Linked DNA regions of Macaca mulatta. Each later gene encodes a partner of the first gene's protein in a complex. Links are inferred from orthologs where the notes say so. Each region holds a gene or a part of one and is shown in the gene's direction. Other genes may lie near its edges.

The links.
Region 2: the proteins of SLC9A3 (region 1) and CHP1 are in contact, whole or in part, in a cryo-EM structure (PDB 7X2U), measured with the Homo sapiens proteins. The link is inferred for Macaca mulatta from reciprocal best matches to the Homo sapiens genes SLC9A3 and CHP1. Residues at the interface, in NP_004165.2 of Homo sapiens: Tyr396, Arg397, Met398, Gln400, Glu402, Arg474, Leu475, Asn476, Glu477, Leu479, His480, Gly481, Arg482, Ala483, Phe484, Asp485, His486, Ile487, Leu488, Ser489, Ala490, Ile491, Glu492, Asp493, Ile494, Ser495, Gly496, Gln497, Asn501, Arg504; in NP_009167.1 of Homo sapiens: Arg30, Leu31, Arg34, Leu38, Lys40, Glu49, Phe51, Gln52, Arg53, Ile54, Glu56, Leu57, Ala58, Ile59, Asn60, Pro61, Leu62, Asp64, Ile66, Phe70, Phe83, Leu87, Phe90, Leu115, Phe117, Ala118, Leu121, Tyr122, Leu135, Leu139.

The regions. Positions count from the first base shown.
Region 1 is NC_133411.1:1,569,313-1,575,037, reverse strand, and holds the end of SLC9A3 (sodium/hydrogen exchanger 3), read left to right. Parts: intron 1-1,052; exon of another isoform or gene 1,053-1,151; intron 1,152-1,296; exon of another isoform or gene 1,297-1,317; coding exon 1,318-1,430; exon of another isoform or gene 1,431-1,457; intron 1,458-1,942; exon of another isoform or gene 1,943-2,034; coding exon 2,035-2,164; exon of another isoform or gene 2,165-2,329; coding exon 2,330-2,506; exon of another isoform or gene 2,507-2,617; coding exon 2,618-2,690; exon of another isoform or gene 2,691-3,024; coding exon 3,025-3,135; exon of another isoform or gene 3,136-3,576; coding exon 3,577-3,826; coding exon of another isoform or gene 3,827-3,830; exon of another isoform or gene 3,831-4,135; coding exon of another isoform or gene 4,136-4,635; coding exon 4,636-4,639; downstream 4,640-5,725. Other genes in the region: uncharacterized protein LOC114679012, read right to left, coding at 4,136-5,611. UniProt on the Homo sapiens protein: Plasma membrane Na(+)/H(+) antiporter. Exchanges intracellular H(+) ions for extracellular Na(+) in 1:1 stoichiometry, playing a key role in salt and fluid absorption and pH homeostasis.
Region 2 is NC_133412.1:18,583,756-18,590,013, forward strand, and holds the start of CHP1 (calcineurin B homologous protein 1), read left to right. Parts: upstream 1-2,789; 5' UTR 2,790-2,927; coding exon 2,928-2,994; intron 2,995-6,258. UniProt on the Homo sapiens protein: Calcium-binding protein involved in different processes such as regulation of vesicular trafficking, plasma membrane Na(+)/H(+) exchanger and gene transcription. Involved in the constitutive exocytic membrane traffic.

The DNA.
Region 1 (5,725 bases):
ACCCCCAAACCACAGGCCCGGGAAGCGAGAGAAAGTTCAGATACCCTGGTCAGTAGGCGGGCCTTGAACCTCTCCCCCAACCCCACCAGCCACCATCCTTGACCCATGACCCATGACCCATGACCACGACCCTGGGCTCAGCTGCATGTGGGGAGCCCGTGGGTGCCTCCTGGTCACTCAGTAGCCTGAGTCTCCACAGCTGGGGTGGCGTCCGCCTGCCCGATGTCCCTCCTGGCTCTCACACAGGGCAGCTGCTCTCTCTCCCTGCACCCCCCACCCCACAGTGTGGGGCTCGGCAGGGGCAGGGGAAGTGGTGTGGGGAACAGCCCCTCCAAAGACCCCATGTGCCCAGGTGCTCCAGCCCTCGCCTGTGCCTGCCCAGAGCGGCAGCTGGCACTGTGGCTCCCCCGACCCTCACGGCTGTCTTCACGGGGCGGCAGGAGAGGGACAGAGGGACAAAGGTCATACAGAAGACGCTGGATTTAGAAGCAAAAGAGCAGGCAGAGGGCCCTTAGAACAATGACCCTCAGAGCCCCCCAGAGTGGGCAGTGAAGTGGGGGCCACATGTTCAGTGGGAGCAGCGGCCCCCGCCCGACCCCGGGGGCTCTCCTGGGAGCGTCTTGCTGCTGCAAGGCGGCATGGTGCCCACCTGGCAAGGTCTGAGCGCAGTGAGCTGACGTTCCCTCCACACCTGTGCCCCCGCTGGCCCTGGAGACCCTGACTCCAGCCACAAGCCCACCCTGCCCTGCACTCCTCCACAGCCTCACACTCTCCAGGCCTGCCATCAGGCGGGTGGGGTCTGAGGACACACAGGCAGCCCCACTCCCATCCTCTGGCACTCAGCTGTGCGGCTTCTGTGCCCCATCGGGCTCTGCTCCATTCCCTCGACCTGATTCATTTCTGGACATGAGGCCAATGGGGTTTTAGGGCCTCTGGCAGGGACAGGGGCCACTTCTGATTCCGCATATCGACAGTTTCCCCAGACACCCCCCAAGTCCTAGGCAGCTTTACCCCTTCACACTCAGACCACTGTGTCCTCCCACAAGCATTACCTCTGCCCAGTTCAGGCAGCAGTCTGGCTGTGGCCTCAGACAGATGGACAGAGGCTCAAAATCTGATCTCGTGGTTTTGGCATCTCCTCCCCTCTGCAGCTGTGAGGGGAGAACCTGGGGCTCAGGTCTCAAGGCCTTCCCTGGGCCCCGAGCTCTGGGCACTTCCCCGCTTCCCCCCAGGGCACACAACAGCAGCAGCTGCCGCAGGTCCGGGACCTAGGGCTTGGCTGCTCAGGCCACTGACCGGGCTGCTTCCTGACCATAGGGAGAGCGCCGTGGGTCCCTGGCCTTCATCCGCTCCCCCAGCACCGACAACATGGTCAACGTGGACTTCACGCCACGATCATCCACCGTGGAGGCCTCTGTCTCGTACCTCCTGTACGTGGCCGCGGTCCTGCAGCTTCCCTGGGGAAGAACCCAGCTGAGAGTCACAGGCGGGGCTGGGGTGGCTCCTGGCCTGGGGGTGGCATGGGGGAGTGGAGGGGTGCAGAAAGAGGGGCTGGGTGTCCCCTTCAGCAAGCGCTCCCCTGTGTTATGCGGTGGCCAGACTCCCTTAGTGCTGGATGCAAGGTGAAAGGGAGGGGCAGCAGCGGATTGGGGTCCGGGCCTGACGTGTTTGCCCCGGGCCAGGAGCAGCCTGTCCTGGTCCCCATGCCACCCCTACTGCCCCTCCAGCCATGGGCTCCACAGCTCACGGCCAGTTCTCATGGGAGGTCCACTCTGCCAGGTGTGCAGATGCCAGGGTCCCCAAGTCTCACAGCCAGGGCTCTGGAGGGGGACCAGTGAGGAGGGGGATCCACCTCAGAACGGAGGCCGGGAAGGCCTCGTGGGGAGTCAGCCTAAGCCCCGAGGGGAGAAGGGGCTGGCCAGGTGGCCAGGTGTCCCCGTACCCCAGCCGGATGCCCGCCTTGGGAAGGCGAGGGGTGCACAGGAGACCCCACCCTGAGGGAGCCTGTGTGGCTCAGCGCTGGTCCCCATGCAGGAGAGAGAATGTCAGCGCCGTCTGCCTGGACATGCAGTCTCTGGAGCAGCGGCGGCGGAGCATCCGGGACGCAGAGGACATGGTCACGCACCACACGCTGCAGCAGTACCTGTACAAGCCGCGGCAGGAGGTGGGCCCCGCAGGCTGGGGGCTGGACGCGCCCACAGGGACCCCTGTAGGGTGGCCTCCTCGTCCCCTCCCAGGACCATGGGGGATCCGTGCTCAGCCCCTGCGGCAGGAGGGCGGGAGTGTCTGGTGCTGGGCACAGCTGTGACCTCCGTGCCCAACCCTGCAGTACAAGCATCTGTACAGCCGGCACGAGCTCACGCCCACGGAGGACGAGAAGCAGGACCGGGAAATCTTCCACAGGACCATGCGGAAGCGCCTGGAGTCCTTCAAGTCGACCAAGCTGGGGCTCAACCAGAACAAGAAGGCAGCCAAGATGTACAAGCGGGAGCGTGCCCAGAAGCGGGTGAGGCCGGGTCACCAGGAGGCTCGAAGGGGCTGGGGCCTGGAGTGGGGGCAGTCTGGGCCGGGTGTGGCTGTGTTGAGGTCTGTGAGCAGCTTCACGTTTGCCCCACAGAGAAACAGCAGCATCCCCAATGGGAAGCTGCCCATGGAGAACCCTGTGCAGAATTTCACCATCAAAGAGAAAGGTGCGCTGGGGGCCCTGCGGGAAATGCTGGGAGCCACCACCTCCCAGCCCCAGCCCTCCCCTCTCGGGGCCCTCCCCTCTCAGGACCCTCCAGCCACCCAGGCAGGGAGGCACGGTCAGGGCCCCAGCTGCAGACCCACCCAGGATGGGGTTCCAGGGGTGCTGCCCTCCAAGTGGGGTCCCTCCTTGCCCTCCCCCAGCCCTGCGGTTTAGCCCTTCTCTCTGTGGGTCCCGACCCCCTGCACCTCTGGGCACAGAGCTGATGGACACGGCTGACCGGCTGTGAGGACAGCCCCCTAGTGACCCCAGTCCTCATCCCAGCCTGTCTCCTCCAGACTTGGAACTTTCAGACACCGAGGAGCACCCCAACTATGATGAGGAGATGAGCGGGGGAATCGAATTCCTGGCCAGTGTCACCAAGGACACAGCATCCGACTCCCCTGCAGGTGGGGACAGGGCACAGGCGTCGTGGCCCAGGGAGGGGCAGCTCCTGCTGCCCCAGGAGGGAGCTCAGTCATTGGACCAGGGGCACTGGGACCTGGCGGGGGGGGGTCTCCTGTGGGTTCTCAAGGGCCCTGCCTGGCACCTCGAGTGCCTCCTCAACCAACTCGGAGGCTGCTGTCCCAGGAGACGTGGGCCGGGCAGGGAGCAGACGGGGTGTGTCTTGAGGGAAGGGAGACCTCGCCTGTGCTGTCTGTGATGTGTGGGGTCATGGATGTGGGGCAAGGGCCTGCAACCTGAAAGGCACGTGACCCTAACCTTCCCGGTGATCCTATTCCAGGTGACCTTAACCTTCCAGGGCACGCAGCAGGTGACGGCCCCCGCAAGGCCTCCCCTGCCGCCCCAGGGCTCCCAGGAGGCTGACCGGCCGCTGCCCTCTCTCCTAGGAATTGACAACCCTGTGTTTTCTCCGGATGAGGCCCTGGACCGCAGCCTCCTGGCCAGGCTGCCGCCCTGGCTGTCTCCCGGGGAGACGGTGGTCCCCTCGCAGAGGGCCCGCACGCAGATTCCCCACTCTCCCAGCACCTTCCGCCGCCTGACGCCCTTCCGCCTCAGCAGCAAGTCGGTGGACTCCTTCCTGCAGGCAGACGGCCCCGAGGAGCGGCCCCCCGCCACCCTCCCCGAGTCCACACACATGTAACGCTCCCGGGCCTCCTGCCACCTAACCCCTCTCTCCGCAGCTCCTTTCCCTCCAGGTCTCCGCCTCGCGCTCTCTCTCTCCTCCTCCCTGGACCTGAACCTGGCTCTCTCTCTCTCTCCAGCAGCCCCTCTTCCTCCTCTAGCGCCCTGCTGGCCGCACCTCCCTCAGGAGCCCGGACAGACCCTGGCGTCTCTGCTGCTCCCACGGAGCTGAGAGCCCCAGGGCCGCCTGTGATTTCCTTTAGGTGGCTCCGAAAGCTAGTCCGCGAGTCCAACTCCTGCGCTCCCACGGAGCTGAGAGCAGGGCTAGGGGGAGCCAGACGCCCCGGGTCCCCTATCCTCCCACAGGGATACAGGGAGGGCCGGCCCCGCAGACCCGGGCTCTGCCTCCAGCTCAGGGCGCGCCACAGGGTCTGGGCTTTGTGAGCTCCCTCTGGGGGCCTGGGAGGCACCCGGGGAACGCCAGGGCGGTTTGAGATGGAGGAAGCAGGTTTTCCCCTTGGGGACCTTGACCTCCCGCGCTGCAGGGCCAGGGGCGGGACCTTCCTGCACGGAGAAGGCCGCTGTCCCGGGACCCCCGGCGGTGGGACGTGGTTGGGCCAGGGTGGGGCTTCGCTGTTGCTGCTTCCGCCTCTGTCCTGCGAACCGGGTCCTGGGAGGAGGCCCCGGCGGACGCCGAGCCCCGGGTGCCCGGCGGAAGGGGAGGCGAGAGCCGCCAGGCTTGGGGAGAGCTAAACCGCCCGGGGACGCCACTCCCGCCCTAGCGCCCGGGCTCCGCGCGCCGCTCACGCCCTGCTCTCCCGCAGGTGACACCGGCTCCGACACGCCGCTGACCGGACGCTCGTCCCCGCGCCACGGGCCGCCAGCCGCGGCCGCCGCCGCCCCGGAGAAGCCCCTGATCCCCGCGCGGTTACAGCGGCCGCGCGCCCCGAGCCCCGTCCCGCCCGCGCCCACGCCCACGCCCGCGCAGAACCCCGAGAGCGCCGCGGCCGAGCCCGCAGAGCCGCCGGAGCGCGAGCCGGGGGCGGGGCCTACACCCGGGGCGGGGGCGGGGGCGGGGGCGGGGCCGGGGCCGGAGCGCCGGGGACTGCCGAGTGCGCACGCGCGTTCGGCGGCGGCGCGCCGCGTGCACAGCCGGCGCTCGTTCCAGCGGCCCCGCGCGCGCCGCCGCCCCGCCCTGCTGAAGCTGGCGTCCCTGCCGCCCTCGTGCCACGCACCGCCGCACGCGCTGGAGCAGGAGGAGACGCCGCTGTGAAGCCGCGGGCGGGAAGGGCCCGCGCGCCGTGGCTGGCCGCTCGCGCCCTTTCCCACAGCTGCCGGGAAACCGAGGCTCGCCCAAAACGGATTTGCGTGAAACCAGCCCAAGGCTCCGGGCCCCCACCCCCGAGCCCCGCACCTCTCCCCGGGGACCGACTCAGGGACCTTCCGAGCGCCAGGACTCAGGGCCAGACCTGCAGCGGCTGCAGGCCCGGCCCCGCAAGCGGCCCTGGCCGAGCGCCGTTTCCAGGCCCTCGCCAGGTCTTTGAGCTGCAGGTAAAGTAGCGGGAACGTCTTCCGTCTACTCAGCGCTTGGGGATTTAGACTCCTAGAGCCAGCACCTGCCTCGTTCCCCCTCCAGGTTCCGTCCTGCCCGCGCCCGGTCTCAGGGTGGCGGCCGCGGGCACTGCCCGTCCCCCACAGACGAGGTCTCCGGCCTGACCTGTCGCACCTGGCCCGGAGGTCGCCCCGGGGGCCCTGGCTGGGTGAAAGGTGGCCTGGCGGGCGGCGCTTTCCAAGAATCATGGCCGTTCCTTAAGTGGACTGTGGGGCCCAGCAGCTGCTCTGGCCCCCTTAACAAAGCAGGGCGAACCAAGGGGGCATGGAGGGGCCCAGGGCACCGTCCCCCTCACCAGGCTC
Region 2 (6,258 bases), on another chromosome or scaffold:
ACCTGCCCGAAGTCACACAGCTAGAAGGTAATGCAATGTGAACTAAGACCAGGCCTCTAGGGTAGGATGTTTGTAGCCTAGTGCAAGACCAAGTGTTATGCATCCAGATAGAACATAAAACAAGTCATCAGAGAGTCTAAGAAAAATCATTCTTTAAGTTAATCCAACAGGCAAAAGGAGATTTTTAAAGAAAAAATACGTAAAACTGGAAAAAAAAAAAAAACAGCGCTTAATAGAGGCAAACATTTTTATTTTATTTTTGAGATGGAGTCTCACTCTGTCGCCAGGCTGGAGTGCAGGGGCGCGATCTCGGCTCACTGCAATCTCCGCCTCCCAGCTTCAAGCAATTTATACTTTTAAAAGCTACCCAAGAAAGAAAAGTTTGTGAAACACCTGGAAAATAAGAGAATTAAAGAAACGTTAAAGAAAAAAAAAATTAAAGTCAGAAAAAAATACTAGTATGAAGCAAAGAAAGCTTTGACTGGAGACAGCTGCAAATGGTAAGATTCAAGATTAGGAAGGAAAAAAGTAAGGTCAGCATCAAGAGATGGGCTTCAAGGCTGACTGAGAAAAGGGACATTCATGGGGCTGACAAAATTTTCCTATCACACCCATATTCCAACATACAAAGCAGCTCCAGTGATTTAGCTCTTAGACGGACATATCCAAAATGTTACTGAGTATTAAGGACAACATCACTAGGTTAGACAAGTGCACGCCAATCATCAAAATAACTCTAAGGCCGAGCACGGTGACTCACGCCTGTAATCCCAACACTTTGGGAGGCCAAGGCTGGTGGATCACCTGAGTTCTGGAGTTTGAGACCCGCCTAGCCAATATGGTGAAACCCTGTCTCTACTAAAAATACAAAAATTAGCTGAGCGTGGTGGCACGGGCCTGTAATCCCAGCTACTCAGGAGGCTGAGGCACGATAATCCCTTGAACCCGCCTGGAGGCTGCAGTGAGCCGAATCTGCACAGTTATCAGGCCCTGGCGCTCCAGCCCGGGCGACAGAGTGAGACTCTGTCGCAAAAAAACAAAACAGGCCAAGTGCGGTGGCTTGCACCTGTAATCACAGCACTTTGGGAGGCTGAGGCGGGCGGATCACCTGAGGTCAGAAGTCCGAGACCAGCCTGACCAATATGGAGAAACCCCGTCTCTACTAAAAACATAAAATTAGCTGGAGGCGGTGGCGCATGCCTATAACCCCAGCTACTCGGGAGGCTGAGGCAGGAGAATCGCTTGAACTCGGGAGGCGGAGGTTTCGGTGAGCTGAGATGGCGCCTTTGCACTCCAGCCTGGGAACAAGAGCAAAAACTCCATCTCAAACAACAGCAACAACAACAAACAAAACAAAACTGTAGTTCTTCAAACTAGAACCTCAGCCTGCAGGGAACGTGTGGGGCCTCAGGCTAAGCTGTAAAGCCTTAGGAACACTTAAAACTAATAACCTAAGTTGACCTGGGAAAGCTTGCTAAGACAAAAATACCCTGGTACTTAGGTTCTAACAGACAGCGGTCAGAATTCAGTTCTTCCATATCTTATACGGGTTCTAACCAAACAGGTGTGAAGGGGTAAGGCCGGTGAAGTAGTAAGAACTGGTTCACCTGAGAGTAGGCACTAATTTAATGGGTGGCTTTTTACTTTTTTTTTTTTTTGAGACGGAGTCTCGCTCTGTCACCCAGGCAATGCCGCGATCTTGGCTCACTGCAACCTCCGCCTCCCGGGTTCAAGCAATTCTCCTGCCTCAGCCTCCCGAGTAGCTGGGATTACAGGCATGCGCCACCACGCCCTACTAATTTTATATTTTTAGTAGAGACGAAGTTTCTCCATATTGGTCAGGCTGGTCTCGAACTCCTGACCTCAGGTGATCAGCCCGCCTCGACCTCCCAAAATGCTGGGATTACAGGCGTGAGCCACCGTGTCCGGCCTACCTTTTTAATCAAAACAAACAATACACCATGAGAATAAAATGCAAAATTTCTCATTTTTAAGACAAAGTAAGGAACTTCAAATAAATGGCGGACCATAAGCTAGGAATTCACTGTCCTCCATCGTTAGGGCTTTTTCCTCCGAAGCAAGTTTGAGAAATCTGGATCCTAATTTCAGCCAAGTGGTGAATTCCTCGAACTTCAGTCTAGAACTAAAAGAAGAGGGGGGCTGCAATGAAGGAAAAAGTCTCGGGACGCTCCACGCCACCCGGCGGCGGTTATCAAATCACAGCCTGAAAACAACCTGGAGAAAGGTCCGCGACGCCGGGCACCCACGCTGCAGCCCTCCCGGCCCAACGTCCAGTCTCGTCTGTTTCCCAAGGAGCCAATCAGCACGCGGCCCCGAGGCTGGCTCCCCAGCGCCCCCTGCGGCCGGGAGGAGGACGGCCGCCAGGAAAGATACAGAGCGCATGCAGTCCCCGAGGGGCACACCCTAGGGTTCCCCCCACGCGAAGTTTCTCTCCGCAATCCGTGCCACCTATCGAGTAGGATTCCTAGTGTTCGATTTCTGTGAGAAAAGGTAGGCTACGCTGCCTGCCGCAGGTTAGTTTGTTGTAAAACGGTTGGTCAATGGAATTGCCCTTTTAATTGCGTCGTTAGCGCCCGAGTGGCATCGCCCCTTTAAGGCCGGTGGCAGCTGCGGTTCCGGGGGCGGGGTCCATCTTCAGCAGGACTTGGGCTGGAGCTGGGCTGATTCATTCGGGGCTGGAACTCGAACGCTGACGTCGACTCCTGAGCCGGGCGCTGCCTCGCGCCTGATTGGCGGGTCCTCGGGGCCGCCCTCCCCAGCGCACCACCCCTGGGTTCCCTCCTGGGTCCGCAGTGGAAACACTGCCCTCTCCCTTCTTGACCCCTAGCCCGCCCTTCCCTCCCTCCTTCCCTCCTGTCGCCCTCTCTTCTGGCGCCGCTGCTCCCGGAGGAGCTCCCGGCACGGCGATGGGTTCTCGGGCCTCCACGTTACTGCGGGACGAAGAGCTCGAGGAGATCAAGAAGGAGACCGGCTGTGAGTTCGGGTTGGGGGTGGGAACGCCGGGCGCCTCAGACTGGCCTCGCAACCGAGGGCGGCTGTCGCTAAGGTCTGGAGCTCGGGTGCCTGTGAGGTTGGGGGGGTCCTGGGCAGCCTCCAGGTTTCGGGACCGAGAGCTGGAAGACCTGTTCTTCCAGCTGCAGCTTCCTGGAGCGGGGCTGTAGCTACTGTGGGGGTGTCCTTCCCTTCAACATCGGGAGTCTTGATAACTCTTAGAGCGTCGACGCCCCCCTTTTCTGCCCCTTGCCCATCAAAGTCCCCGAACTCCTTTCCTTTCTGTTGCCTAGCACCACCCTTCCCTATGAAGAGGCATCCTGAACAGTAGGTAAAGCCCGAGAAGCAAATTCAGGAACTCGAGATGGATTCTATAGAAAATCCATTTCTGGGCAAGGACCTGAAACCTCTGACAACTATGGGAAATTACAAACAAGTTCTTGTCACAAATTAGGAAAACCACCCAGAAAGCAAGACCGTGTAGTAAGGCTTTGGGAGACATGACCCGATGCCTGGAGACCTTTCAACAGGGATCTGGGATTGTGAGACTTCTTTCAATCTGAACTTCTAGAGAAAAAACACGGATACTATGAGCACCAGTTTTTTACTTACACGAGGATACTTGCTGGCCTAATTTCATATATATATATTGATTTCTACTGTGCTGGTGTACTTTTTTATTCGCTATTGAAATTGGATGTGCTTCAAAAATCTCCGTGTGAATTTGTACTAGGAACTGATTTTTTTTTTTTTTTTAAACGGAGTCTCCCTCTGTCACCCAGGGTGGAGTGCAGTGGTGTGATCTCAGCACACTGCAACCTCTGCCTCCCAGGTTCAAGCGATTCTCTGGCCTCAGCCTCCCGAGTAGCTGGGAGTACAGGCGCCTGCCACCACACTTGGCTAATTTTTGTATTTTTGGTAGAGATGGGGTTTCACCATGTTGGCCAGGCTGGCCTTGAACTCCTGACCTCAAGTGATCCACCCGCCTCGGCCTCCCAAAGTGTTGCGATTACAGGTGTGAGCCACCCTGCCCTGCAGAACTGATTTTTTTTTTTTTTTTTTTTAATAGTCCAGTCTCTTCCTCATTAGCCTGCACAAAGGAGCAAAAGGACTCTGGGGATTCTGAAGCTCTGTAAAATACCAGCATACCTTTGAATAGTCCTTGATAATGCAATGTATGATACAATTGTATTGATGCATACAATATTTTATCTTTTCAGTAAACCTTTACGATTCTTGTTGAGTTAATGAATGATGTAGCACCTGAGCTCTGTCTCTTCATCATACCTGTCTTTGATAATGAGATGACCAGTAACTCACTCAGGGGCCCATATGCAGATAGTACCGAGGAGTGCTATGGACAACTACAGAATTACTCAGGCCTAGAATATGTTAAGTGCTTTTCTCTGCTTTGTGACAAGTTCAACTTTCTAGAGTTTTCAAGTTGGAAGGGATGTTATCTAGCCCCACCCCTTGCTGGATTGGTTTGCCCCTTTCAGCCTCCCCTAAAATATGGCCCTTAAGCCTCTCTGTAAAGACCTTTGATAGTGATAACCTCTCCACCTACCAAGGCAGTTCTTTTCACAATTTTGAATGACCCAAAGTAGTTATCTCTTTATAATTTGCAGTACTTGTTTGGCCACTGACTTACTCTGACCCTAGGAGTGGAGATGCAAGCAGTTTGGATTCAGCAAGCATTTTATTACATTTTGTGGCCATAGCTTCTGGCCACATTTGTAATTAGAACTACTTTAGGTCTAGGGTGACACCGAATTAAAGTATTTGTGTTAAAGAGTCACATGGAGAAATAAGCAGAATGAAAGAGAAATAAATACAGAGTCACTTAACGAGAAAGTGTAAACCATAGTGAGGATGCAAAAAGCCATTTTTGCTTCAGAATGAAGGGAGCGGTAATCCCATTCTGGTTTACATACATTTGACCAAATGGAAAGGGCCTGGATGGGATATTTTTACCATGTGGCTTGTGGAGAGACAACTGAGTGCTCATGGAAAAGCTGTTTTCCCCATTTCTCTCCACAACCAGTGCAAATGTATGTATTGAGCCAGAATGCTTAGTGAAACAAGTGCTTACTGAATTTTTACAGTGTCTGTTCAGTACTGTGCTAGGTACTGAGAGCAGATGGTGACAAAAAAACGCCCACAACCTGGTTGGGGAGATAAGCCCAAGAGAGTTATGATTAGCATCATGACATAAGAAAGCTGAAATTGTGTGTCACCCACCTTCAGAAATCAGGGAAGAGAGCATCCCTGTGGGCTGTCCTCATGGAGGATGGGAATTGGGCCTTGATACATGGATGAATGGAGTAATAGATTAACCTAGGGCATTTTGGGTGACTTCCAGGAGAGATACCCCCAAGCCTGCTACAAAGTCATTCCTCTGTGCTGGGAACCATCAGTTTATCCAAATAGTGTCCATCATCAGAGTTGTTTTTTCTTTTTCTTTTTCTTTTTTTTTTTTGAGACGGAGTCTGTCTCTGTCGCCCAGGCTGGAGTGCAGTGGCCGGATCTCAGCTCACTGCAAGCTCCGCCTCCCAGGTTTACGCCATTCTCCTGCCTCAGCCTCCCAAGTAGCTGGGACTACAGGCGCCCGCCACCTCGCCCGGCTAGTTTTTTGTATTTTTTTAGTAGAGACGGGGTTTCACCGTGTTCGCCAGGATGGTCTCGATCTCCTGACCTCGTGATCCGCCCGTCTCGGCCTCCCAAAGTGCTGGGATTACAGGCTTGAGCCACTGCACCCGGCCCTTCTTTTTCTTTTTCTTTATTTTAGAGACAGGGTCTTTGCTCTGTCTCCCAGGCTGGACTACAGTGGCTTGAGCATAGCTCACTGCAAGCCTTGAACTCTGGGCTTAAGCCATCCTCCAGCTTCAGCGTCCCAAGTAGCTAGGACTACAGGCACATACCACCATGCTTAGCTGATTTTTATCTTTATCTTTTGTAGAGATGGAGACTTGCTATTTTGTCGAGGCTGGTCATGAACTGCTGGCCTCAAGTGATTCTCAGGCCACTTTGGCCTCCCAAAGCGCTGGGATCACAGGTGTGAGCCACTGCACCAGGCCCAGAGTTGCTTTTTCAAGGAGTAATTTGGTATGATGCAAATGATTTTGAAGAATAAAAACGGATATCCGGAGTGGGTAGAGAGGTGGACTTTGTCCTATTTTCATCTGCCTTTTGTTCTATGAAGAATTTGGAAAACTAACAAAAGCACTTTAAGAACAATTATAAGAC